Linked DNA regions of Xenopus tropicalis. The protein of the gene in region 6 interacts with the protein of the main gene of each other region in a pairwise test. Links are inferred from orthologs where the notes say so. Each region holds a gene or a part of one and is shown on either strand. Other genes may lie near its edges.

Evidence for each region.
Region 1: the proteins of bend7 (region 6) and ppp1r37 interact in binary tests that used the Homo sapiens proteins (3 or more experiments, as listed by UniProt). The two-hybrid records come from large-scale screens. The link is inferred for Xenopus tropicalis from reciprocal best matches to the Homo sapiens genes BEND7 and PPP1R37.
Region 2: the proteins of bend7 (region 6) and eaf1 interact in binary tests that used the Homo sapiens proteins (3 or more experiments, as listed by UniProt). The two-hybrid records come from large-scale screens. The link is inferred for Xenopus tropicalis from reciprocal best matches to the Homo sapiens genes BEND7 and EAF1.
Region 3: the proteins of bend7 (region 6) and l3mbtl2 interact in binary tests that used the Homo sapiens proteins (3 or more experiments, as listed by UniProt). The two-hybrid records come from large-scale screens. The link is inferred for Xenopus tropicalis from reciprocal best matches to the Homo sapiens genes BEND7 and L3MBTL2.
Region 4: the proteins of bend7 (region 6) and lyar interact in binary tests that used the Homo sapiens proteins (3 or more experiments, as listed by UniProt). The two-hybrid records come from large-scale screens. The link is inferred for Xenopus tropicalis from reciprocal best matches to the Homo sapiens genes BEND7 and LYAR.
Region 5: the proteins of bend7 (region 6) and mfap1 interact in binary tests that used the Homo sapiens proteins (3 or more experiments, as listed by UniProt). The two-hybrid records come from large-scale screens. The link is inferred for Xenopus tropicalis from reciprocal best matches to the Homo sapiens genes BEND7 and MFAP1.
Region 7: the proteins of bend7 (region 6) and smarca2 interact in binary tests that used the Homo sapiens proteins (3 or more experiments, as listed by UniProt). The two-hybrid records come from large-scale screens. The link is inferred for Xenopus tropicalis from reciprocal best matches to the Homo sapiens genes BEND7 and SMARCA2.

What each region holds. Positions count from the first base shown.
Region 1 is NC_030684.2:71,184,352-71,188,461, forward strand, and holds the start of ppp1r37 (protein phosphatase 1 regulatory subunit 37), read right to left. Parts: upstream 2,801-4,110; 5' UTR 2,423-2,800; coding exon 1,996-2,422; intron 1-1,995. UniProt on the Homo sapiens protein: Inhibits phosphatase activity of protein phosphatase 1 (PP1) complexes.
Region 2 is NC_030682.2:51,500,673-51,504,799, forward strand, and holds the start of eaf1 (ELL-associated factor 1), read right to left. Parts: upstream 2,801-4,127; 5' UTR 2,385-2,800; coding exon 2,279-2,384; intron 1,468-2,278; coding exon 1,373-1,467; intron 1-1,372. UniProt on the Homo sapiens protein: Acts as a transcriptional transactivator of ELL and ELL2 elongation activities.
Region 3 is NC_030680.2:115,987,153-115,990,486, forward strand, and holds the end of l3mbtl2 (lethal(3)malignant brain tumor-like protein 2), read right to left. Parts: intron 2,818-3,334; coding exon of another isoform or gene 2,796-2,817; coding exon 2,646-2,795; intron 2,337-2,645; coding exon 2,227-2,336; 3' UTR 501-2,226; downstream 1-500. UniProt on the Homo sapiens protein: Putative Polycomb group (PcG) protein. PcG proteins maintain the transcriptionally repressive state of genes, probably via a modification of chromatin, rendering it heritably changed in its expressibility.
Region 4 is NC_030677.2:26,336,903-26,341,142, reverse strand, and holds the start of lyar (cell growth-regulating nucleolar protein), read right to left. Parts: upstream 2,801-4,240; 5' UTR 2,700-2,800; intron 1-2,699. UniProt on the Homo sapiens protein: Plays a role in the maintenance of the appropriate processing of 47S/45S pre-rRNA to 32S/30S pre-rRNAs and their subsequent processing to produce 18S and 28S rRNAs. Also acts at the level of transcription regulation.
Region 5 is NC_030679.2:107,687,106-107,691,178, reverse strand, and holds the start of mfap1 (microfibrillar-associated protein 1), read left to right. Parts: upstream 1-1,273; 5' UTR 1,274-1,369; coding exon 1,370-1,451; intron 1,452-3,586; coding exon 3,587-3,806; intron 3,807-4,073. Other genes in the region: rpl37a (60S ribosomal protein L37a), read right to left, coding at 104-232, 1,188-1,190. UniProt on the Homo sapiens protein: Involved in pre-mRNA splicing as a component of the spliceosome.
Region 6 is NC_030679.2:81,757,203-81,760,702, forward strand, and holds part of bend7 (BEN domain-containing protein 7), read left to right. Parts: intron 1-3,229; coding exon 3,230-3,492; intron 3,493-3,500.
Region 7 is NC_030677.2:128,244,138-128,247,637, reverse strand, and holds part of smarca2 (probable global transcription activator SNF2L2), read left to right. Parts: intron 1-75; coding exon 76-176; intron 177-1,507; coding exon 1,508-1,655; intron 1,656-2,336; coding exon 2,337-2,500; intron 2,501-3,206; coding exon 3,207-3,273; intron 3,274-3,500. UniProt on the Homo sapiens protein: ATPase involved in transcriptional activation and repression of select genes by chromatin remodeling (alteration of DNA-nucleosome topology).

The DNA.
Region 1 (4,110 bases), on a different chromosome or scaffold from region 6:
GCTAGATTATTTTAAGATAAAAGTGGGAAAATTACAGAATTTTATAAGACACCAAAGGTTTCTCTTTTTTAAATAAAAATAGCTGCATAAGGCTATTCTTACTATGAGGTGAAACATGAGCCATATTAATTGAGTACTAAAGGTCAGAGAGACCACACCTATGGTTAAAAGGTAACTGTACAATGCAACAGAGAACGTTCAATAAATAAAGATAAAATGCAATCATTTGTCATTGTTGTATTGGGGGCAGGAAGTGAAACACAATCCCATGGTCTAACACCTAGTACTATGAGAGCATGGCAGCAAAGCATATATGCCATGTTTTGCTTACACTTTAGTGCCCACTATGATAAAAACATGTTTGGAAGTCTGCTCTACAGGACTGAATTGCTGCTTGAGCAGAAACTGAATTATCAGTCCTTGAGTACCTGCTTTTTTCTGATTTGTGCATCAGGAGAGCCAGAGATTTTACTTGACTATGCTCCACAAGCCCAACATATTGGAGATTTACTCATTACATTCAGCAATTGCTTTTTATAAACAAATCACTAAATTAAGTTCATTTTTTATACTTTATATATTTTTTTATTTTTTATTGTTTTTGTGTTTTTTTTTTATATATTGTTTAATTTCTTTTACAAATGCATTTTTTGCAACACTTTGTTTTTTGTAAGGAAACAGAGTAACAGCTGCAGCTCACAGGGAGAAACCAAAAACCAAGCTAGGCAGCCAATGACATTATGACAGTATGCATGCGTCAACATTGGCATACTTTTTTCTCTTGCAAAAACTTTAGATTTGATTTTTATTTAAGATAATTTTGCAAACAGATATAAATGCAACACAAACTCAGATTTTAAAATCTACCCACATATGCTTCTATATTGTACATAAAAATGAGAACCTTTCTAAGCTTGTGTCAGTGCTGCTTTACAGTGAAAGATCAAAACATTCATTGACATCCTATGACAGTGAACATGCTTATATTTTAAGAAATATTTTAGGTCCAACTATTATTATTATCTGCAACTTTACAGAAATCTCTTATCATTAACCTCTGACCATGTCCTAGGAGAGTTTGCAATCCAAACTCCCTGCGTTGGGCAAACACTAACTTGGGTCATTAAAGGGGTTGTTCACCTTTACGTTAACTTTCAATATGTTATAGAATGGCCAGTTATAAGTAACTTTTCATTTGGTCTTTATTATTTATTTTTTAAATTATTTGCCTCCTACTTCTGACTTTTTCCAAATCTCAAATAGGGGTGACTGACTGCAGCAGACAAAAAAACTTATTCTGTAAGGCTCCAGTTTTATTGTTATTAAATTTTATGACTAATTTTTCCATTCAGGTCCTCTACTAATCATATACCAGTCTCTCATTTAAACCACTCCCTGGTTGCTAAGGTAATTTAAACCCTAGCAACCAGATAACTGATGAAATGTCAAACTGGAGAGTTACTGAACAACAACAAAATAATTAAAAAACCATAATAAAAAATGAAGACCAATTGCAAATTTTCTTAGAATATTATTCTCTACAGTATACAAAAAGTTAACCCAAAGGTGAACAACCCCTTTAATATGAAAAGCATGGCAGAAAACCAAGTGTTACCAGAAGAAGCCATGAGAAGAACATACAAACTCTGTGCAGAAGGTGCTCTGCTGAAGGGGAATGAAAACAAAAATGTCTTTGCATAATGCCAGATCACAGAAAAAAATCTCTCATAAAGATGCTCTCCTGACATATGAACACAAACTTCTTTCAATAGCAGCTACATATACAAATAACTTTAAAGTTGTTAAACATTCTTAACAAATTTATACTGGAAAGTAATTAAAATCACATTTATTTCATGTTTTGTTTTTTAGTCTTTGGTTTGACATCCCCTTTAAGACACTAACCAGCTAACCAGTGCAATGCCACACTAACTAGTAAGAACCATTAAATAAAATGATTTGGGTTCAACAGTTAAAATCAAATGAATTACTCACCATGCCTCCATGGATCTTTGGGTTCAAGGGCACCAGACACAATATCATCATCACAAGGGAATGTCACCCTTTTAGGTCCCTGCTTAATCCGCCCATTTTCCTCTTGTGCGCTACCTTCTTTAGTCTCATTTATTTTGCTCTGGTCCAATGTTTCTGTTGATACTCTGACCTCTGTACCCTCCACACAATCCATTTCTGTAGAAGAAAGGGTCCTTAGGGGCAGAGGTTTGGGTTCTGGGCTACAAGGAGACAATGCTGTAGAAGACACACCCTCAGTGTTTTCCTGGTTCTTCACTATAGTAGTTTCAACTTCTACAGGTAACACCTCTTTCAGCTCATCTTCCACACTGTTTTGAGGCATGGCCTCTACAGCGTCCCTTTGGTTCCTTTCTTCAAGTGACGGATGCACCACAATACTTCCATCCATTTTACCCTCCTGTACTGGACTTGCATCTCTTAATCACTTTCTTTGTAGTTGCTCAATGCAACAAATTCTCTCTGTAGATATCATTGGATTTCTTTCAAGCTTTTGCCTCTCCTGCCCTCAGCCTCTTCCGCGGTCTTTAAAAAGAACCCACACTTCAAAGCTTAGTGGCCAAAAGACATTTTGTATGCAAAACAACGACCTATCACTATCGGTGCAACTAGCTCTTGCGGTCTAACTCAGTTTCCGGGTCACATGTCTCTGTCTGTCTCTCACTCAGCCTTTGACGGCGGAAAACAGCATGGCCAATCAGCAATCGCCGCGTCAGCACGAACCATAGATAGCAATATGACCAAGGAGCAGAAGAAAGATCGTACTATAGAGTAGGAAGAATTCTCTAGCTCTGTTTGTTTTTAATGAAACCATAGAGTTGTGGAAGGACTGAGTGTAGCTGCGAACCATAAATAATCACTATAGCGACTGTGGAGGAATAGAGGGTAGTTGATGCCAGAAAAGAAATAGGAAACGTACAAGGGTTATTGTAGACGAGTTGTCACTATACAGTTATCCTTTTAACTTTTTGTACATATTGTGTATGTATTTGAAGATGCATACAATGTTGCTAAACACTTTTCCTTGTTTACATGCTAAAATCTAATTTATAATACGCAATTTAATAGTGGCGGGTTTATTGCAGTAAAATGAAGGACCAGCAACACTGACATATTTAATTCACTGAATTCAATGAATTAAAGTGCCTAATGACCTTTATTTTTAAGATAAAACCAATAGTTTTTGTTGTTTCTTGCATTACACAAAATTCAAACCACTGTCACTTTCTAACCTTTTATCAAAGGTCTCCTCTAAACCTTGTGCTGACTCTCAGCCTAGGCTATGGTTTAGTGCTAAGTGCTTTAAAACAGTACATTTTTAATTGAAATAATAGAAGAAAAATTAAACATGAGTTGAATGCAAAATGTTGCGTTCCCCTTGCCAAACTGCATTTTAGTTAATTATGGAAGTGAAAAGAAGTAAACAAGTAAAAAAAACATACTTGCAAAAATTAATACACAGCTAAATTTTATGGCATTTACATATGAGAAAGAAAAAAGAAAAAAATTGGGACTTCCTTCCATTTGTCCAGTGGTAAACATTGTTTTTGCAAGGTCCCTGACCCCAATTACCACATTAAGCTTTAAAGGGGTAGTAGTTAACTTTTAATATGTTATAGAATGTTCCATTCTTACCAGTGTTTCCATTGGTCTAGTACAGGGGTTCCCAACCTTTCTTACTTGGGAGCCACAGTCAAATGTAAAAAGACTTGGAGAGCAACACAAGCACCATAAAAGTTCATGGAGGAGCCAAATAATGGCTGTGATTGGCTATTAGGCAGCCTCTATGCACCCTATCAGCTTACAGGGGGCTTTATTTGGTAGGAAATCTTGTTTTTATTCAACCGAAAATTGCCCCCAAGTCAGGAATTCAAAAATAACTACCTGGTTTGGGGGCACTGAGAGCAACATCCAAGGGGTGGGGGAGCAACATGTTGCCCCTGAGCCACTGGTTGGGGATCACTGGTCTAGTATCTCTTCTCACTCTTTCAAACTTTCAATTGGGGTCACTGGCCTTTTTAGACAAAACCCTATTGCTCCGTTAAACTAAATTTTTATTGTTATTGAAAGTTTTTATTA
Region 2 (4,127 bases), on a different chromosome or scaffold from region 6:
ACTAACAAAAGTAAGAGAAAAAGTAAGTGCAAAAAACAACAACAAATATATTAAAGCACAATGAGCTTTTTCAGGGGGAAAGAGTTAATTTAGGACTGGAGTAGGGGGGTTAGGAAAATTACAGATGCCAGATGACAAAAAACTATTTCATTTCAGCTATTGATTCAGCCTTTAGAAGATATAAAGTATAGTACCTGTGGAATGAAGAATTGGTGAGGTTCTTAGGTAAAGTTACAGCCTGCAGATTCATCTAAACAGTCTTCATTTCTGCAGTGCCTACATCTGTACCTTGATTGGTCAATGTTACTGTCTGTCAAGAGAGCTGTGCTCTGATTGGAGAAGCCACAAGAAGATCCAATCAGAGCACAGCTGATTACAACAGAACCAGAGCTTGCAGGAAGGAGGAATGCAAGAAGATTTCCCCAATGTTCCAGAGCAGTGCAGAAACTGATTGATTTTTTTTTCTATTTTAAAGGTGCAGAGCAGGTTTGGGGAGACTTAGCCTCCCCTAGCCTTATTGAAAATCCGCCTATGCACAGCAGTGCACGATTTGTTACTGAAGGCAGGATGGACTGAGCGGCACTGAGCACAACTATAGGGAGCAGCAAGAAGTGCATTTAAGTACCTTAAATGAAAGTGGCTTTACCCTCAACTGACTGTGGGAAAAAGTGCAAGTTGCCTGCTGTACTTGCGGATATAAATGAACCTTTATTTGTAATCACTGTGCTCATCACCTACTTTTTACATGAATGACACCAATGTTTCTAGCCATCTACTGATGACCATGGTGAGGGACAGATGTAGACAGAATACAGTGAGAGGCATATTTAATATAGTGTGTGAGCCAATATTACTGGGGATGTTGCCCATAGTAACCAATCACAAATTAGATCTGAACACCTAAAAGTTAGAAAACAAAGATCTAATTGGTTGCTAACATGTAGTTGTCTGTTCAAATCTAATTGCTAATTGGTTGCTATGGGCAACATCACCGGTGATGTTGGCTTACATACTAATAAATATACCCCTTAATGTATACTGTTGGATAAATGTTAAGACTTTTTTACAGGACTGATCTGGGCATGGAGGCCTGCATCATGCTTGGCATTAATAGTTTTGAATTGTCAGCACACCAATTACTGATGCTCCAATAGTGATGGCTGTTCTAAGAGCTGTAGTTAAATGAATACATGCCTCATATCCCTGACTGCTACATGATTTCATATTAGGTAGCTTCCACAATAAGCAACCAATCTCCTCATACCGAAAAAGAATGTTCCATGCATACCATATGCACTTATTCTGTACAGTCTAACTGAAAGTTTCACACCACATGTTTTCAGATGCTTTTTCAGTGTACGACAGGACTTACAGGAATATGTGGCAAGGTTATTGTTACTTCATCTCCTTTGCCAACCTGAAGTTCCCCCTCACAAGAAGTGTCTATGGATGCTGGCTTGAAATCATCTAAAAAGAACATAAGGTATTTAATAGCGTTGAATATAAAGAAGATTAGTGAATAATGCCCTCATTTCCAGTCATGTGTAAAAGAAAACAAATTACCTACTAGAGTGTAATTCACATTTAGAACATTTGTATATCAGTATTACAGAAGAAAATCATGAAAAATACAGCCTATTTTTTTTCTTGCATGTAGGTTTGGTTTACTGTGAACACAAAACATGCACTATTGTCATTGTATTTAATGAACAGTAATAAACTTCAGCACCACGTAGCTGCCTGCGCAGTACTATGCTTGGCTGTTATAAGCCAGACTTTATCCAGTGACAACACACAGGATTTTCTTTGTGTGATTTTGCCTTAAAACCAGTTTTTCATCACAAAAAAAAAAAAATTTCAGTGCAGCCCCCTTCATCAAGTGAAATACAACAAAAAGATATATATTTCACCTGACAATAGGGTTGCCCTCAAAACTTATGTTATGATGTTATGTGATTAATAAACTTTGCAAGGCGATAGCCTGTATGGCTGCCCTTCATGTGCATTATTGGAACTGTAAACACGTGATATCTGTCATCAGTCCATAAAATTATAAAGATTTATGGGATTTGCACTTTGACAAATGTGCTTCTTTGCTTCTTTTCAAATATAACATATTTATCTGTTATTGAACCTACACACTGTAAGTTTAAGGGCAGCAAGACATAAAATTTAGAATAAAGGTCTCCCAATCATCTTTAACCCCTTTCCACAGACGTGAAGCCACAAATAAGCCCCGCCCCATACAGGTGTAGTTGTGTGATGTCATTGTACTCACAGCGCACTGTGTGGAAAGAAGAGCGGGGCCTCTTTTCGAAACTCTCACCGAGGCGAAGGATGTGCTCCTCTCGGTCCAGCGGCGGTGGGGGTGGAGTCCCGTTCATTGCTGAAATTCCAGCTACTACAAGAAATCTTAATTATGATTCTCAATAAAATAATTAAAGCTGGAATAGCCGTCCACAAGTATTTTAGTTAGCGCAGGTGCACGACACTAACCCGCAATGGGATTATCACACCAACCGTAGGGAATAGAACCTGTCACAAATTCCACACCCCACCTTCAAATATTTATAATAATAACCCAGCGCAGGTTATAAAAGCTCATGCTTAAAAGAACAGTCACCGCACCAAAAAGCCCACGGATATGTTATATACCACAGATCAAAATGAAGATCCGTAGCAGCACAGTGTTAAAGATGTGACGCTGTATCCATCTCTCCACGCCCCCTCCGCAATGTTGTGAATGTTATGTCTGCAAGTCTAAAAAGAGATACCAATGGTGCAGTAATGATAAATTATCCAGAGTCCACCACTATTATACTCAGGAAGAGTCATTCAAACAGCCTCTCTAAAGACATCGTTCTCAATAATTAAATACAGCTCCGTCACTTGCTCCGCCCTCTGCTGATTTACTGCACCCATTTCTCCAGTCTCCGAGCACTTCCTTACTACGGGTCGTCAGTAAGGTCAACCTTCTTCTGATCTTGCTCATGTAAAAACCTGCCAAATTCTAAAAAAGAGATGCAAGCTTCAAGCGTGACAATCTAATCTTAGCTTCTGCTGGACCTCCTTTCCTTTTTTTGTTTACTGCTGAGTTTCCTATTACATGCTGGGTAATGTAGTTCCTTTAGCTGTTTGTTACTATTCATAGTTACATAGTTAGTTACATAGTTACATAGGGTTGAAAAAAGACCATTGTCCATCAAGTTCAACCCATCCGAGTAAACCCAGCACACAACCTATACTAACCAATCTATACACTCACATACATAAACTATATATATACAACCAGTAATACTAACTGTAGATATTAGTATCACAATAGCCTTGGATATTCTGCTTGTTCAAAAACTCATCCAGGCCCCTCTTAAAGGCATTAACAGAGTCTGCCATTACCACATCACTAGGAAGGGCATTCCACAGCCTCACTGCCCTCACCGTGAAAAACCACCTACGCTGCTTCAAATGGAAGCTCTGTTCCTCTAATCTATAGGGGTGACCTCTGGTGCGCTGATTGTTTTTATGGGAAAAAAGAACATCCCCCAACTGCCTATAATCCCCTCTAATGTACTTGTACAGAGTAATCATGTCCCCTCGCAAGCGCCTCTTTTCCAGAGAAAACAACCCCAACCTCGACAGTCTAACCTCATAGCTTAAATCTTCCATCCCCTTTACCAGTTTAGTTGCACGTCTCTGCACTCTCTCCAGCTCATTAATATCCTTCTTAAGGACTGGAGCCCAAAACTGCACTGCATACTCAAGGTGAGGCCTTACCAGGGACCTATAAAGCGGCAAAAATATGTTCTCATCCCTTGAGTCAATGCCCTTTTTTATACAAGACAGCACTTTATTTGCTGTAGTAGCCACAGAATGACACTGCCTGGAATTAGACAACTTGTGATCTACAAAAACCCCTAGATCCTTCTCCATTAAGGATGCCCCCAACACACTACCATTCAGTAGATAGTTTGCGTTTATATTATTCCTACCAAAGTGCATAACTTTGCACTTGTCAACATTGAACCTCATTTTCCAGTTTGCTGCCCAGTTTTCCAATTTTGTCAAATCGCTCTGCAAAGCGGCAGCATCCTGCATGGAACTTATAGTTTTGCACAATTTAGTGTCAT
Region 3 (3,334 bases), on a different chromosome or scaffold from region 6:
TAGCACTATTAAAAACAAAGTTTGACAGCTTCTGAGATGGTTTTTTGAAAAATGGAAGTGTTTAGAAAATAGTCTGTGGAATTAAGCTGAAACCCAAAAATATAATTTGCCATGGGCCACTCTGGAACAAACCGTCTTAGACAGGAACATGAGCAAGATAAAGTGGGACAGTTTATGTAGGAGAACGGGGATATGGGCCCAGGCCTGTCTGGCAATCTGTGGGTTCTGGCAAATGCCAGAGGGACTGCTGTAAAAGACCATTGGCAATCACTATTTATTGGGCTGTTTGGGCCTCTGTGTATTGGAAATGTCAGGGCCTATTCTGACTCCCAGTCCAGACCAGTATGGGACCAGCCAAACCTAATTTGAATTGAAATTACTTTTTAACACAAACCCTTTCAAATAAGTGGGGAAAAATAATTGTTTTTATCTGAAAAAAAACATTTTTTTTCAATTCAATACAGCCTTTTGTGTTAAAATAAAGTCACATATTACAAGGATTTTTTTTCTTTTTACAAAAAAGAAGTTTATTTACAAAAATAAAGTATTTATGCCAGATATTACAAATTACTTTAACTGACAAAATATATCTTAAAAGTGTGTATGCTTTTGAAGGGCAAACAAAGGCTTTAACAAATCTGTGTATAAAAGTTGTTTACTTGCAAGCACAATGTCCCATGTAGAGCAGAACTATGCAAGTAAAGTTCCCCCTTCACGTCCCACCTCACTGGTAGGGCACTCAGCAACTCTTCATGTATCACAGATTATGCAGTTGTGAACAGCTGGATCAGGAGATGGCTGGTATCCAACCGCTGATCCCAGTTACCACTACCCACAATAAATGTTTTGCAGTAAACCTGCTGAGGCTTTTTTTCCTATTTTTTGGATTTCTACAATTGTATTTGGTTGCAGCACAGAGCAACAACTAGAAGCTAAAGCTTTTTTTCGTAAATATTTTATACAAAGTTCACCAATCATTTTTTAATTTTATAATACAGCCACCAGGTGGGCACCAGCTAGAGCAGTGATCCTCAACCAATGGCTTGTGAGCAACATTGCTCGCATATTGCTCACCACCCCCTTGTGTTGCTCCCAGTGGCCTCAAAATAGGTACCCATTTTTAAATCTCTGGCTTGGAGACAAGTTTTGGAAGTATAGAGATGCAGTTTTACTCCAAGTAGAGCCTCCTGCAGGTCAGCAGTCCTTATGGGGCTACCAAATAACCCCTTTTTTAATGCTTGTGTGGCTCACAACACTTTTTACATCTGCGTGTGGGTCACAACTAAAAAATGTTTGGGGATCCCTGATTGAGATGGTAAAGTAACCTCAAGGGTGGGTAACACAGAGGGCAATCTCTGTAACTGCATAAAGTTGCAGTACATGGCATTTGGTACAGGTGTCCAGTCTAAGTAAACAGCCCTGCACACATTTGATAGGTACTCTTAATAGAAGAGCAGCTATGAAATCAAAGGCAATTTCTGACATAATGAGAGAAAAAAAAACTTATATAAAGGGCTAAGAGAAAAACACAACTGCAGCATATTTGCCTTTCACATGGATGTGCCAGCATTTTGTGAATGAATAGAGATTCAAGTTACTTATCTTAAAGATTTTAAATTGAATAATCCCTATACAGTGGATAAAAGAATGCTGCAACTGGATATCAGACCCCTCTTCATCCTCTGCAGGTATTTCATCAACATATATTGCTCAACAATTGACCAAAACAAACAAAAATACCCCCACTGTATATACATAATAATATTTACATAAATACACATCTTTTTATGAAAACCCCCAGGGGCCCTATTTACAAAGAGTAGACAAGCACTGGCCGCAAAGGGATTCTGTCACGGAAAAACATGATTTTTGCAAAATGCATCAGCGTTGCTCCAGCAGAGTCCTGTACCACAATCTGTTTTTCAATTTCATTTTGAAATTTGACATTAGGCTAAAATGCCACTGTTGAATCCATCATCTACAGTCCCCAACCTTTCAAAACCAGTTGATAGAGGATGATTTCATATAAAGGTCACATGGGCCAAAATACATACATACATACATACATACATGCCAATAAGCATTCTTCAAAGCAATTAACACTAACCAACTGTTCTTAATGCTGCCTATGGTCACTTTCATTCTGTTTACAAAAAAGCACAAGCTGGCCTTCTTGGATTTGCTTATTACATGAACAGCTATATTATTGTTACATGTAAAGCTGCTTCATAGTTCCACCTCCTCTTCTTCTTTAATTTCCTTTTTCATGTCCTGGTTCTTTACTTGTTCGAGTTCACAAACCTCCATCTCTTCTTCCTTTATTTGCACTGCGATAACTGCAAGACATGATACAATGAGTAAAATGCTCTGTGTAGCAATGCACCACAAGATTTAAAAGAATGAGAATAACTGTTGGTATACTAATAGGCAGTAAAAGTATATTCTTCTAATGTGCAAAAATAAGAGCACTATAGAGTTGTTATCACTTTAATATACCAATTTGCCACAGTCTTGCTCCAATAATTGTGTGTACTTTGTTAGATAAAGATTTCAATTTTGCCATAGCAGGGATTTCTCACAACTCTTCACTAAACGTTCCATGCTGTATGGTTCCCCCAACCCAGACACCCTCCAATTCCACTTACTCTCGCCTTCTTCAGACTTTGGGTTGCACATATTCTCTCTGCTGCTGCTGCTATCTTCCATCTCAAGGTCAGCTGGCACAAGATCCACAGAATTCTTGCCAGCACTTGTGGAAGGCACCACTTCCATGACATGCTTATTTGCTGGATCATCTTAAAGTGAAATGTAAAAACACTGTGAAAGAATAATAATAATAAGACTAGAAAGAAGGTAAGAATGCACCAAAGGATGAACTAGAAGAACTAAAATAACCTAAACTTATAAAGGAATTCTGTCATGATTTTTATGGTGTACTTTGTATTACTAAATTACACTGTTTATATTGCAAGCAATTCACTCTACCATATAACATTTTAATGTTAAACCATTAAATGCATTTTTTTAGTTGTAATATTGTGCCTGAGTCTGCGCTATCAGAAAGAGCCAGCACTTCACAACAGAACTGCTTGCTGATAACCTATTGTTTCCCCTACTCCAGTGCTGTCCAACTGGCGGCCCCCCTCTGTGTGGCCCCCCACCTGTCTGGCCAGCATTGTGTCACTGTAGGCTGCCTGTGTGTGCCATACACACAAGCATCATAGAGCAAGCAGAGTATGGCACACACAGGCAGGGTAGGGAAGGCAGAGTATGGCACACACAGGCCGAGTATGGCACACACAGGCCGAGTATGGCACACACAGGCCGAGTATGG
Region 4 (4,240 bases), on a different chromosome or scaffold from region 6:
ACTCCCCCAGTTACATGGGAGTAGGAGAAACAATAGGTTACCTGAAAGCAGTTCTAATGTGTAGCGCTGGCTCCTTCTGAAAGCTCAGACTCGGGCACACTTTACTGCTGCGCTGCAAGTTGGAGTGATATCCCCCCCTCACCCCCAGCAGCCAATCAGCAGAACAATGGGAAGGGAGCAAGATAGGGAATCATTTAACCATGAAATAAACCCAATAGGATTGTTCTGCCCCCAATAAGGGGCAATTATATATATTGTTCCATTTCGCCTATGGATGGGTATGTAGGGCACAACTGCCTCTGCGTGCAGCTACTGTTCTGTGGGGCTCCATTGAAAGTGGGAACCATGGTGTTTGCATTGGATTGCACCCCACTTTATGGCCCCTTTGTTGGCAATATGGGGGGCATACAAGGAAATCCTTATGTGAAAGTGCCTGCACCCCTCCTATAATATCTGCCTTATGTCTGAGGGATGTGACATTCCCAATGTCAAAATAATTCATTGGAAGCAATATAAGCCGAGCCTTGTAGCAAAGAATGGAATTACCTGCAGAAAAGAATGTAAACTGTAATTGTGCATTCAGCCCGCACATCGTTCCCTTGCTCTGCGCTGTTGGGCTGGAGGCGCCATTAGTTTGGAGCAGCTTCAACTTGCACAAAGCGGCGCTACAGATCGGTGCCCTGAGAGCTCAGCAAATACCCCAATAAAATAATGAAATGGCACAAAGCGGCGCTACAGATCGGTGCCCTAATGCTCATACCTGTAAGGAGAAGCCCCCGCTCGGCAACGATGCCACGCGTCAGCACGCAAGTTAGGGCGCGTGCAGCTATGCATTTAATTCAGATACCGTATATATGCGAGTATAAGCCGAGGTTCACTTTTTAAGCACATTTTTAGTGCTAAAAAACTCGGCTTGTACTCGAGTATATACGGTAAGCTGCTGTGTAGCCCTGGGGGCAGCCATTCAAGCTGGAACAAAAGGAGAAAAGGCACAGGTTACATAGCAGATAACAGATAAGCTCTGTAGAATACAATAGTGTTTTATCTGTTATCTGCTATGTGCCTGTGCCTTTTCTCCTTTGAATGGCTGCCTCCATGGCTACACAGCAGCTTAATTATATAAATTATAGTAGACTTTCTGAAGCAAACACACAACTTTTACCAGTGCAGGGCAGCAGCACATTATATTTTAGTTACTTTTATACACTTTCATTTTTTGGTGTTACTGTTGCTTTAATCAGTTTAGTTCAGGCAGACGATAATCTCTGATCAAGTGTGCTTAATCTGATAAGGTAGTGGCAAAGGTGATGTTTCTAAGGGCTCTGGCACACGGGGAGATTAGTTGCCCGCGACAAATCTCCCTGTTCGCAGGCGACTAATCTCCCCGAGTTACCATCAGTTGCCATCCCACCGGCGAAAATGTAAGTCGCCGGTGGGATGGCACACGCGGCGGCACAATTTCTGCAAATTGCCGAAAATGCCTCGCAAGGCAACTTCGGCGATTTGCTGAAATCGCCTGCGCAGCGTGTGCCATCCCACCGGCGACTTACAATGGCAATTCGGGGAGATTAGTCGCCCGCGAACAGGGAGATTTGTCGCGGGCGACTAATCTCCCCGTGTGCCAGAGCCCTAAGGGTGAAGACACATGGAGCTACTAGTAGCAGCTACTAAAATAGACAATGCTGATAATTGTCTCTACGTTTTACAAGAGGCAATTCTCAGTATTGTCTATGGCAGAGTATTTTCTGGTGTAGCCGTGAGAAGTAGCTGCTACTAAGTAGCTCTGTGTGTCTTCACCCTAAGGACTTGGACACAGGGAGCGGTTTGTCCACTTCTCTCATTTAGCATTTATCCGTCAGGCTGAGAGAAGTAGATCCGCTTCCACACGCTGCTTCATTTTTTCTCCACAGGCCAAGAATCATCCCTGTGTGGCACTAGCAATACTGCTTCCCAAGTGGCACCTTTACACACGGCCAATCCGCTGCCCTACCTTTCTGTTCATTTTAACTCTCCGGTGTTCTAGCTACTGAAAAATCCTTTGGCTGTTCACCAGTTATATGGAAATCTCTCTACTTGTATTGGCAGCTTTACATTAATGGAGAGCACTAGTGCAGTCTGATACCCTGAGTCGGTGATCACTGGCTACTTGGGGAGACTGCCAGGTGTAATAACAGCCTTAAAGAGATTTAACCCCAAAAATGAAGTTAAAGTCCTGTGAGCACTTTTCCAGTTTAAACTGGTTACTGAGATAATGGCAGCTTTACACTGATTCCCAAGCTTTTTGGATCCAAAAAGTGCCAGCAACCCCAGCTGTGCTCTCCCTGCAGTCTCTTGAGAGAGTCAGAAGCCAGTTTATGTACTATAGCTCGGATGAGCACTGTCAGTAAGGCCAGTTTATATTTTGCATTTAGATGCCCTTTAACAGCACAGTTTTGCCAGAAGAGCTAGTGTGGGGGCTTTGCTGGGGGCACAGGGTACTGAGATAACTGATCCATCCCGTTAGGATTTAAACGAAGCTGAAACAGGATCGTTATCCCCCTGATGCCATGGGGTTAGCTGACACAGCCATACCCAGCCCCCCATACACACACACACACAGTGCTAGTCTAACAGCAGCACACCCATAGTGTCTCTCTCTATAGATCTTACAGTTTGTGCGAGTTGCAGTTCAGAAACCCGCTGCATCGGGCACCCCTTACCTCCCACTTCCCGGGCTCGGCGCAGCAGTCCCACTATAGCCTAAGGCGCCTCTCTCCCACCGTACCGCCAGCTATACCCACGTGTAGCGCTCCCGCACTGCGCAGACTATTTACTGTGACGCCACTTCCGCCCGGCTTCCCAGCGCCGCGACCTTGAGGGCGGAAGTGACGTACCTATCGGCGAAAGTCTTGACTCGTTCGGTTGATGGGTTCATGTTGGTGCGGCAGGGATAGAGCCAGAGGGGCCTCAGTGCCCGTACGTACAGACGGTAAGGGGCTCAGTCCGGAATGACCACCAAATGTAATAGTATATGTAAATAAACAACCTCGTATATATATATATATATATATACATACACACACACACACACACACACACACACTTAACCCTTTTACTGCCAGCCATTTTGGTCAAAGCGGAACTTGTATTGCCAGACAGTTTTTGAACATTTTGCACTGTTTCACTTTAGGGGCCTTTCCTCGGGGGGACTTTTAGTTTACCAAGGAAAACAATATATCGTTTTTTTCAGAACAACCTAAGCTTTCAAAATATGGTAGAATTTTTGTGTAATTCCAATTCTGTAACAAGATATAGGCTTCTAAATGTCTAAAAATGCAAAAAAAATCAAATTTTCCATAATATAATCACACATACTAGAAACAAAAATTATTTTATGCACGAATATACAACTGATTTGGAAAGTCCCATGTCTCCTGAACGTGCCAATACCAAATATATATAGTTTTATGGAGATTTCTCACTTGTATAGGTCAAAAACTCCCAGCAGTACACTACCAAATTCCCAAAGCACTGCTCCAAAAAAACTGCATACTTTGGATTTCAAGGCCAAAATTCCACTAACAGAAGGTTTATCCCAGAAAATTGTACATTTTTGGAAAGAACAGATTCTGGGGAATACAGAATAGGCACAACTGTCTGTCTACTCCAAACTATCAAGTTGCAATGCTTTCCTAAAGTTATTGGTTTTTATCAAAATTTGTGATTTTTTTTAAAAATCGCTTCAAAGCTTCTAGTCTATAGTATCTTATCTCCTACAGGTCATAAAGTAACCAAATAAAATACCCTAAATATAAATGCCTGGGGTCCACTGAACAGTTTGATGCCCAATATGTATAGGTTTACCTAAGTATGTGGCATGTAGGGGCCCCAATGTGAACATACCCCATATGAACTGTCATTTCTGTCATTTCAGCTTCTGCAAAATCAACACATTTACATCATTATATGTGGGATGAAGCTAGTAAAAAGTACGCTCACCCCAGAAAGTCATATATTTTTGGAAAGTACACATTCCCCCGAATCTAAAATGGGTACCCATGTCTTTCTACTCCAAAGTACCAAGCCGCACAGCTTTTCTAAAGTTAGCAATTTTGATGACATTTCCAAAAATCCCCTCAAAGCTTCCAATTTGAAGCATCTTATCTCCCACATAGCATTAGGTACCAAGATAAAACACCCTGAATTTGAACACCAGGGGTCCACTGAACAGTTTGATGCCCAATATGTATAGGTTTACCCA
Region 5 (4,073 bases), about 26 Mb from region 6:
CTAGAGGGGGTGCAGATTGGGAGGGGAAAAGTTACACTTTATATCCCTTCTGGAGCTGTAAAGTCAATTCTGCAGATGTGTATTCTCTATAAAAGGCACCTACCTTGCCACAGAATGAGCAGGTGTATTTGGCGTGCTGGCTGATTTCAATTTTTTTGACCATCTTCCTTAAGGAAGCACCGTAACGGGTCCCATATTTACCCACAATGCCAACCTTCTTGGTGCGTTTGGCCTGGAAAGAAGCAGAACAAATACATTCAGAAAAGACACAGCCAAATCTATAAACAAATGTATGGTTTGTAATTTCAGATACCCAAACGCACACTAGATTTCCATTTCAAATTCCATCCCAGTGTGATTCACCTGGGCCTTGTAGGGATTACACAAATCCTGTTAAGCCTTGGACTGGACTACAATTCCCAGCATATAATTAAAGATTAATGGTCCCTGACATTATGTCTCAGCCCTCCCTTTTAGAATGTAAGCTCTTGTGAGCAGGGCCCTCCCCTAGTGTCTCTGATCCTCATCCAAATGTAACTGCAAACCATTATTATGAATTGTTTATATGTACATGTTAACTCTTCTGTCTTTTGTACCCCTCTATTCTGTAAAGCTCTGCGTAAATTGATGGCGCTATATAAATAATAATAATGCTGCTCGCTGAGTGCCGCACATCACTACAGGGCTGCCAAAGTACAGAAAGAGCGGCAGGCCTTGAGTCTCTATTAAAGTAATGGTACAGCAAACCTAAATATAACACAAAAATCTGCCTGTGACAATGACGGGGAAAGTACAGGCCATTCTATGGCGCTGCGGTGTAAGGCAATCACTACGGGAGTACAAACTACACCTTCCCCCCAGGACCCTGCTACTTTGCAAACTATGGAGCCACTGATTCCAATTAAACAGCCGGGCTAGGCACACACACTGACATTCAAACCCTACGGAGCAAAGAGCCCGCAAGCCGGTGACTAAATACCGGTGATCGTCAGGGCCTCAATCTCCCGATCAACTAAACACATACATATATTTCCCGAAACTAAAGAGACGCGAAGAAAAGAAAGAGCAACGGGCGCGGGTATATGTGTAGCTGCAGAGAAAGGTGTCTAAGGTGCAAAAAGGTCGTTCCCGGGAAAGGATTACGACAGATTGATAAATGCCGAAGCCGCCACAACGCAAAGGCTCACCATCTTGCTTCAGGACCCGAGGGAAAAGGGAAGGGCCAAACGCGCCTGCGCAACTTTAGCACGCAAGGGCGGAAGTTGCCGGAAGTGTTGGGAATTAGTCTATGGTATCTAGTCCTCCAGCGCTTCTCACAACTTGGAAGAGCTGTTGTTTTCGGTGTCGTTTGTGATTTCTTACCGGTACAATGGCGTCCTCAGCAAACGCGCTAAGCAAGCAACCGCCCATCCAGTCCACGGCCGGTGCCGTACCGGTTCGCAATGAAAAAGGTAAAGCCTTGGGTTACTGAAAAGCTGCGGCCTCCCGAGAGCCATATAGTATAGTGTAGTGCCAGGGAAGCCTCCATCTGGAACTACACCTAGTGCTTCTTTATCTATAAAATGCCATAATATCGTATCTAGTGTTAATTTTGGGCGCGGTGGACAACGTGCAGCCCAAATTGTTTAAAAGATTAATCTCTACAATCCAGAAACCTGTCGGGGCATTGTAGTTCTATGTGTTTGGTGGGGTACTTCTTGAACACGTAGTTCCGCCGTCTGCGCACTGAGGGTTGTGGGTAAAGATGTCAGTCTGGTGCTGACTGATTACATATTCCAATATAGAGACTATTGACTGTGCAATTTGCCCTAGTCCAGTAACCCGTAGCAACCAATCTGCGATTTGCTTTTATTGTTCTACTAGCAATACACAGATAACTGCTGATTGGTTACTGTAAATATGCTCAGTGTTGGAAATAAGCCTCAGTGATAGCATTAAGTATAGGTTGGCAATCTGCCTTCAGTGCAAGATGCTATCACAATGTAGCAGTAAATTGCTCCTCTGCCAGTTGCAGTAATAAGCTTTTGCTGGGCTGCCAGAAGAAAAATACTTTTTTTCCCTCTCTGAAACCCCAAATAAGGGGATACACTTGTGATATGGTATACAGTACGTAATATACATGGTATACAGTACGTAATATACATGGTATACAGTACGTAATATACATGGTATACAGTACGTAATATACATGGTATACAGTACGTAATATACATGGTATACAGTACAAAACCACCGATATCTACCAAATGTAGCACATGCAATTCACTAAGGTCTCAAGTGAAAATTGAGGATCTTAAGACTATCACTTTTTTCCACTAATGTGCAGTCATAGGTGTGTGACTTCTTTTGTGCTATGCATAACTACTAAATGTGCGTCAGTATCCTCTGGCGTTTGTTTATTCAGAGCTCGCACTTAGAAGATTATGTTATACTTTTTGTCTTGTACCTGCAAATGGAAAATGTATTATTCTGCAATCGAACATCTGCTATACCCTAGCTAAGTTAAGGTGGCCGTACACGCTAAGATCCACTCGCTTGGCGAGGTCACCAAACAAACGCATCTTCTACCGATATCCCCACCTAATTCAGTCGTTTGGCCCTGGAGCCAAACGATCGAATTAGAACGATGGGTATAGTCGCAGTTGGTTCGGGGACCGCATCAACTTTACACAGGAGATTTTGTAGGGTGGTGTCAGATCAGCTGATAGCATCCTTCAAGTTCGGCTGATACATTGACTTTTAGTGAATCTGGAACAAAACCCACCATCCGACTTCATCTGATCCATCCTACATAACTGTAGGGAGGGGATCAGATTTTATTGGATTCCACAAAATCTTGTGCTGTTGCACAACAAGGTTTTGTGGGTCAGATAAAGTCTGATCCACAAAATCTGATCAAACGCTAATGTGTAGTTTCTTTCTGAATGGTAAATTTGGATCAGGCTTTGTGTGTCAGACTTTATCCCATACCTGTATAATGATACTGCTTGCTAATTTTTTTTTTTTTTTTAATAAATTAAATTTGACATGTGATCCTTACATTTAAAGGGGATCTGTAGTTAAAATAGTATTGTGTTACTATAGAGCAAACCAGAATACAAATAAATCATTTTACTGTAACTATTTTTCTCTTTTAAAGGGGTAGTTCACCTAAACAATTAACTTTTTGTATGATGGAGGCAGTGATATTCTGAGAAAATTTGCAGTTTGACCTTTTTGTGTGGTTTCCAGAAGCTCAGTTTGGAATTTCAGCAGCTATCTGTTTTTTGGGCTGCTGGGTTCAGAGGCCCCTATTTGACAGCTAAAGAAAGCATGTAACTAAAAAAACTATAACAAGCAAAGACTAATTGAAAAGTTGCAAAGAATAGGGCATTCTATGACTAAAAGTTACCTTAAAGGTAAACTACTGAGTAGGCATATGTAGGGAGTGACTGAAACCCCAACTTGTTTATCATTGGCTGCTATTCTGCATTGCAGTGTCACTGGCCCTCTTTTAACTCATGGGGTAGACTGTGTTGCTGGATTTTAAAATCAATAAGATTTTTTTTAACCTGTTTTTAAAGGACTTCACTATCCATTATTACAGGTGAAATATCAATGGAGAAAGTCAAAGTTAAACGATATGTTTCTGGTAAAAGGCCCGATTACGCTCCAATGGAGTCTTCTGATGAGGAAGAAGAGGAGTTCCAGTTTATTAAGAAGGGGAAAGAACAGGAGGTCGAGCAGGAGGAACAACCAGAAGAAAGTACCAGCGATCCTCGTTTACGTAGATTGCAGAGTCGCATGAACGAGGATGTGGAAGAAAGGTGACTGTTTCAGTCTTAAAGGATAATACTGCTGGTATTTTCCAGATCTTTCTGAAATTTGGACCCCCAAAAGTCTACTAAAAAAATATTTAAACTGTAAATACACCCAGTATACACCCATTTTGAAAAATCCAAATCATTTGATCAAAATGGAGCCTTTGGGAGATGCCTTTCCTGAAATATGGAGCCTTCTGGATAACAGATCCTATGCCTGTACTTTGTAAAGTCAGTGTGGTTTCTGACACTGATTTTAGTCTATGGTGGGCT
Region 6 (3,500 bases):
AAAGGTTTAAAAAACATCTTTATTTTTGGTGTCAGTATCACTTTAATTCCTAACTTACTACTAAAAAAGTATATTTTTATGAAAATGGTTTATTTAGATGAAGCAGAGTTTTACATATGAGCTGGTTTATGCAATATATTTTTATAGAGGCCGACACTGTTTGGGGGGTATAGTTTCCCTTTAAAATCACTAAAAATTCTGTCTCTCTAAATGAAGGGTTTGTGCAAGAGCACCCCCCCCCAAAAAAAAGATATATTGGACCTTACTGTCAATCAAAATCAACTTCTGCATAAAGAGGGAATGAAGATAAACAAATGCTGAGAGGGGATCATAGTAAAGATAAATGTGATTATTTCAGAAACAGTACAGAATGTTTAGAAAGTTTCTTATTTCAGTATGGTGATGCTTATATTACATATTTACAGTTGTTTATGTTTTTTTAAGTAAAAAATGTAAATTTGTGGAGTATCTAGAACCTCAATTTGAGATTTATTAAGAACTGGTATATGAAAGCTGCGGAGTTTATGTAGAAATCAATGGGAGATGTATTGGCAAGGTCTGCAAATGTATTACTAACATGTTTATAATTATGAAACACCCTACATTAAAACCTAACTTGTAATTTTTAGAATACTTAGGAGCACATTTACTAAGAAATTTTAAGAAAAAGTTGATTTACAAATGGGCTTTTGCCATTGATATTGTTTCTTGAAAAATTAGATTTTTCTGGAAATTTTGCCCGAAACATTTGATTTTTTCTAAAATAACTCCCGTAATTTGTGATTTATTAATGTTTAGTTAACTTTTTTTTGTAAAAAAAAAAAAAAATTCGACAGGTTGATTTGTCGAGTACAATTGAGTCCTTTCAAGGCTTGGAATAGAAGAGGAATAGAATAGCCTGTCCTTGACACATTTTCAAGGGGAATTTAATCCCATTATTGTTTTCAGTTTCACCCACATTCAAGTGAAACTAGAATGAGTACCAATGCTCCTAAAATGGCTGCTGGAGCAATTCCTGTTTGGCAAAAATAAAGAAGATTAATGGAAATGAACGTTCGTTTAAACTCAAATTTTTCGAGTTTCAAATATATATATAGTTGTGGCTTGAAAAATTTGCGATTTTCTAACATAAAATTTGAAATTTTCTTACGAAAGATTCAAGCATTATCGTGACATTTTATAAATACAACAATGATTAAGTTTAATTCGAATTTATACCGTGTTGAGGTTTTTTCTGTCAAGGCCAGAAAAAGATGAGTTTAAGTAAATGTGACTGTTAATTTTATATCTAGAGAAATGATGGGCTGTACCTACTTTGTATGTATTTTTTGAGAACACATTAATAGCTTAATTACTGTATCATGTATTACCGTATATACTCGAGTATAAGCCGATCCGAATATAAGCCGAGGTACCTAATTTTACCTAAGAAAACTGGAAAAACTTATTGACTCGAGTATAAGCCCCTCAATGGTGCAGCATGAAAAGCATCCATATACCGGTATACAAAATCTTTAATCCCATAAGTAAATATGGCATTTCTGTATTCTTTAAATACACCAAATTGCAAAGTATACATGCCTTTAATTTTAAAATATTAATGGAATTACAAGTAGAGCGGAAGCAACCATGCATATGGATTTTTTTTTTTTTTTTAACTTTGTTTTTATTGGTTGTTTTACAGCAAGGTAAAATACATATGAAATATATGAAACAAAAAAGAAGGAAGAAGGAAAAGGGGGGGTTAAAGAAAGTTGGGTGGGGGTTAGATAGGGGGTTGAGGGTGTTTTTTAATTTTTAAAGAAAAGCTCCATTTATTCAGGCTATGGATTTTCCAGCAAACAGCCCTAATATAAACAAATGTGAGTGTATTAAGCAATGCTAGGGCCCACGGCTAGCACAAGGATATCATAACCAAGCATTTCAATAGTGTGGAGTAACGGTGCTGCCTTTTGTGTCACTTACTGTCATTGTCATTCGGCAAGATGTTGGCACTAACAGTAGCAACAGTAACTAACTGTAGCGCGCACACTGTGTCCACATTCTCCTTAAGGCCGGGCACGGGGGGGTCCAGGGAGGGGGGTGCTCCTCCTGTGCTCCACTGTGTCCTTACCTGCAGCGGCGCGCTGTGCAGAATGTCGCGCGCACGCCGTGTCCACACGCTGCTGGAGGCTGGCACACTCAACTACCGCATTGCATGATGTATACAGTAGAAATGGAAGAAATGAACTAGAAGAGCTTTACAATAAAAATATGCATTTTACTTACTTACTTTTACTAAATGTTTTAAGGGATCTTTTATGTAAAAAAGCTGGTACCTTAAGTATATTTGTTTCTTGTGGTGTCCCGTGTAGAGATGTGTTGTAAGGTACTGCTTATTTGTTTGCCAGCAATGTGCAAAATAAGGAAATCTCTGCCCTACTATATTGAAGTAAGGTATCTCTGCCACAGCTTTCTTGGAGGTTGGGGCCTTTCTTTGCCTAAATGTGGCCCTGACAACAATTAAAGGAACAGTAAAATAAAAAAATTTAAATGATAATGTATTGTTGCCCTGCACTGGTTTGCTTCAAAAAAACTATTTCAGTTAATATAAATAAGCTGCTGTCTAGCCATAGGGGCCAAAGGCACAGGTTACATAAGCAAACAGATAATAGCAGATAAGCTTTGTAGAATACAATAGGAATCTATGCAATTTATCTGCTATATAACCTGTGCCTTTTCTCCTTTTTTCAATTTGAATGGGTACCCCCATGGCTACACAGCATTTTTGTTTACATAAACTATAGTAGTGTTTCTGAAGCAAACACACAACTTTTACCAGTGCAGGGAAACAGTAGATAATAGCTTAATTACTTTGATACACTTTCAGTTTTTGGTGTTACTGTTCCTTTAAAGTAAACATCCCAGTTAGTACAGATGTGTGGGCAGATGAATGTTGGGAACCCCTATGTATTCAATATACAGAGATTCTCAAATGAGACCATGTTGAAGAAACAGAATTATGTATTTTCAAAAGCAGTAATTTATATTTAAAAATGCAAAAACAATCTAACCCTAACTTGAAAGTTTTCCTTTTATTCCCATATTTACAACCTGCCCAGCTACAAAGTAGAAAGCGGCACACAATATATACAGTATACTTCTGGTGAAGTGTTTTGCCCTCACCTTTAAAATAACTAAACAACTAATAATTAACACCATTTATACATGCATATGTGTTTTATTACAGTTTCGCAAAGCCGTATGCAGGTTCCGCAGTCATGCATTTGCAATCAAAAGGCAGCCATGGCAAGGAAAAGAATAATAAAGAAAAAAGTGCTTTTAAAGAATACAGCAGTATCTCCTGTAATCAGCCCACCAAGTGTGAGTGAGAAAGAGCACAAGGCCATGGTGCTCCCAGAAAGGTCCAGTCTGACAGAAAAAGGGAGAGCCAAGAAAGAGGAGGAGCACATGCTGGGATTTGGAATTGTTGTTGATTCTTCATCCTCTGATGTAAGTTG
Region 7 (3,500 bases), on a different chromosome or scaffold from region 6:
TTTTTCAATTCAAGTAAATTAGTATCCATTTAATATTTTTTGTTTGTGTGTGACTTCTATTTTTAATGGTTGTAGGAGGATGAAGAAGAATCTAGTAGACTGGACACAGAGGAAAAGAAACGCCTTGGTCTTAACACGGAGGACAATGTAAAGCACGACGCGAAGCAGATAATAGAGTAAGTTATAGGAATATTCTGGAAGTCTCAAAAAATGACCTACCAAAAATGTAAATAAAAGAAGTAGTTACATAAAATCTCCTTTTTTGAAGTGTGTTCGTGAGCTTGTCAAAACAGCATTATTAAAGAACCATTATTGTTTTAATGCAGCATGATAAAGCTTGATAAATATTAGGTGATAAAAAGGTTTTTGCATATCAGAGGTTGGCACAAAGTGTCTGTTTGGGTCTATAAATAGTTGTTGTTATTTATTTTTCTGATTCATGTGAACCAGTTACTGTAAATTTGAGTTATTTCTATTACAGTTTTTCACAATTACTCTATCCCTTACTTTGTTAGCAAATGTACATATTTGGCTAGATGTACATTATATTTGCTCTGTTTTTCAATCAGATGTAATTCTTAAGAATCCTTGTACATCTGTTGAAATAATTTTTTATGATGATGTTTTTCAACAGACTCCGTAATATATGCAGCATCTGTGTAACAAAAATTTATTTTTTTACAAAACAAAAATTTATATTTTTTACACTAGCACTGACAACAGGTATAAGTATCAAATCTGGCTTGGGTGTTAGTAAATTTGCTTTCTTCAACTTTCAGTGCATGATTGTGTCCTGAAGCCTTTACTCATACGGTTACTGTAAAATTATATGATGATTACTATAAAATGATATGGAAAGGGCCTTATATCAATGCCTCCTTTAGCTTCACCCATAGGAAAAGCTGAGCTTATTTTAAGGTGTCCTGGGGGATATGCTGTTTTAACAGACATGGGTTTACTACATGAATTTCTCAGAATGCAAATGAATATTGTAGGCAAACTAAAGGTAGGGCAGAGTTATGTAATGTCTATTTCCACTGATAGGAACATTGGAGTCTTAGTGGGTTCCAAGAATCATATATTTGGGGGAAGTGTTGATTTCAGCTTCATAGCTTTAAAAGCTCAAGGGAGCTTTCAGTAATATTCACACAAGCTAGACACAAGCCCTAGGGATGATGATGTAGAAAGAGTACTGTTTCTAGTATCATTACATGGGACATGCAAGATAAGAGACATTTTCTCCTTCTTACAATAAGACTTTCATGCTCTTTGCCGTCTAGTATATTCTTTGGAGTAACCACTAGCATACTTCTTGAGGCAAAGATGTAAAACAAAATAAACAACAATTTGTTTGACATTGAAATGTGCAGCATTTTACATACACACTTGGCTAAACTCATCCACCTTTGTTGAGAAAATGATGGAGCTTTCTTAAAATTAACTAAAAAGTGTTTAGGCACTATAATGGTCTATACTGTTTGGTTAAACATGTTGTTTGATGTTTTAGGACAGCAAAGCAGGATGTAGATGACGAGTATAGTATGCAAGAGGATGCCCGTCAATCTCAGTCCTACTACGGAGTGGCTCACGCTGTCACAGAAAGGGTTGAAAAGCAGTCCTCCCTCCTAATTAATGGCAGCTTAAAACACTACCAGGTAAACAGTCACTTAGCTCATCTATTGTTAAGTATAAACGTGTTAAAGGGGCAGTGTACCCTTTGTTCATCATGAGTTCAGTGAATATTATTATTATCAGTAAATAATAAATGGTGTGCAGGATAGGGCAATTATTGGGGCAGGGTAGAATAGACTTTTTACTTAAAATTATTTAGTGTTACTTTTCCTTTAACTCGGTTACAGCAGTTTTTAAATGTTTCTTGATAGGTGAGGTTGTTACTATTACAGAAACTGAGCACTCATTATTTTTAAAATAAACGACTGGCCCAGCAGATATTTTTCTTATTCATCAAAAATTTCCTTGTGTCAGAAACATTTTCCTGATAGGAAAGTTTTTATTGAGTGGATGTGTTTATCAAAGTTGATACCTGTTGCCAGTTTGTCAGAATATGTTGAAATGCTTTTAGCAGGCAAACCCAGTTCTGCTCTGTGGGGTGGTAGTTCTTAGTGCTGCTCAGGAGCAGTGCTGAGCACTATCACCCATGCAAATCTTTGCCCCCAATGTGTATAGTAGAATACAGATGAATGGGTTCAGACAATTATTTTCTGCACTAAAATGTAATATATAGACACTTAATGGTTAAACAGTCAGAATCTTCAAAAGTTCAACAAGCTTTTGCTGATTTTCTTTCAGCTAGAAACCGCTGTTTTATATTTCAGATTCAGGGTTTGGAATGGATGGTTTCCTTGTTCAACAACAATTTAAATGGAATCCTGGCAGATGAAATGGGGCTCGGAAAGACCATTCAAACTATTGCACTCATAACCTATCTGATGGAGCACAAAAGGCTTAATGGGCCATACCTTATTATAGTTCCTCTTTCGTAAGTACAGAAATGTTGTCTTTTGGTTCCTTACCTGAAAAAATAGAATAAAGTTATAATGTGCACACAAACACATGTTGGGTGTCATCTTTTTGGCTTAACATTCTGATTATATCAGAGGCCCTGTAGAGATTGTCAGGGAGAGTATTTCAACTACATTTCCAACATTTTTTTTTATCAGTATTAAAATGGGTCTGATCAGATACAAATAATTTAAAAGCAGAGGAAGTAACAATTATGTCAGAAATGTTCAGTTGCAAGATTTTTGGCCTCTACAAACTGTCAATAAGCAAAATCGGAAGGGCCCACGCAGATACATAAACTTTTCACCTACTATTGCACCTACATGTGCCGTACACATATGTGCTAGTACAAGTTACTGTTTTCTTACTACATAGAATAAAGAAATGATAAAAGAGAGACACTATAGAAATCACAATTTCTGTATTTCTGAGTTTTTAGGATAATGGGTTTCTAGATAATAGATCCCATACCTGATCCCATAAGCAGTTAACTGTGTAGTGCTGAATAATTAGCAGATGTCTAGAAGATTAGAAAATATCAAGAAGATGTTTTCAGATCAAGCTGGCACTTGTCTACAAAACAAAAATACAGTATATACAAAATTATTTTAAAAAATGTCCATGTTATATTTTAATGACTTGATATACTGTTTATTTATTTAAATCAATATTCTTTCCTCTAGGACTTTGTCCAACTGGCTATATGAATTTGATAAATGGGCCCCATCAGTTGTGAAAATCGCATACAAGGTTTGCAGTTTCACTCTATTATTAATGATCGTGAAATTATTCCTTTACTAAAGATATATGTGTGTGTGTGTGTGTGTATATTTTATTATGTTCACCCCATCTTTGCATAGAATTATGTTAAACTGCTTAAATTGCCACATGCGTCCTAGTGCAAGGTAATCATCCTAAAGACATCACTGCAATATGGGATAATTACTTTCAGATGGAAAAATGCTGCACAAAATGGT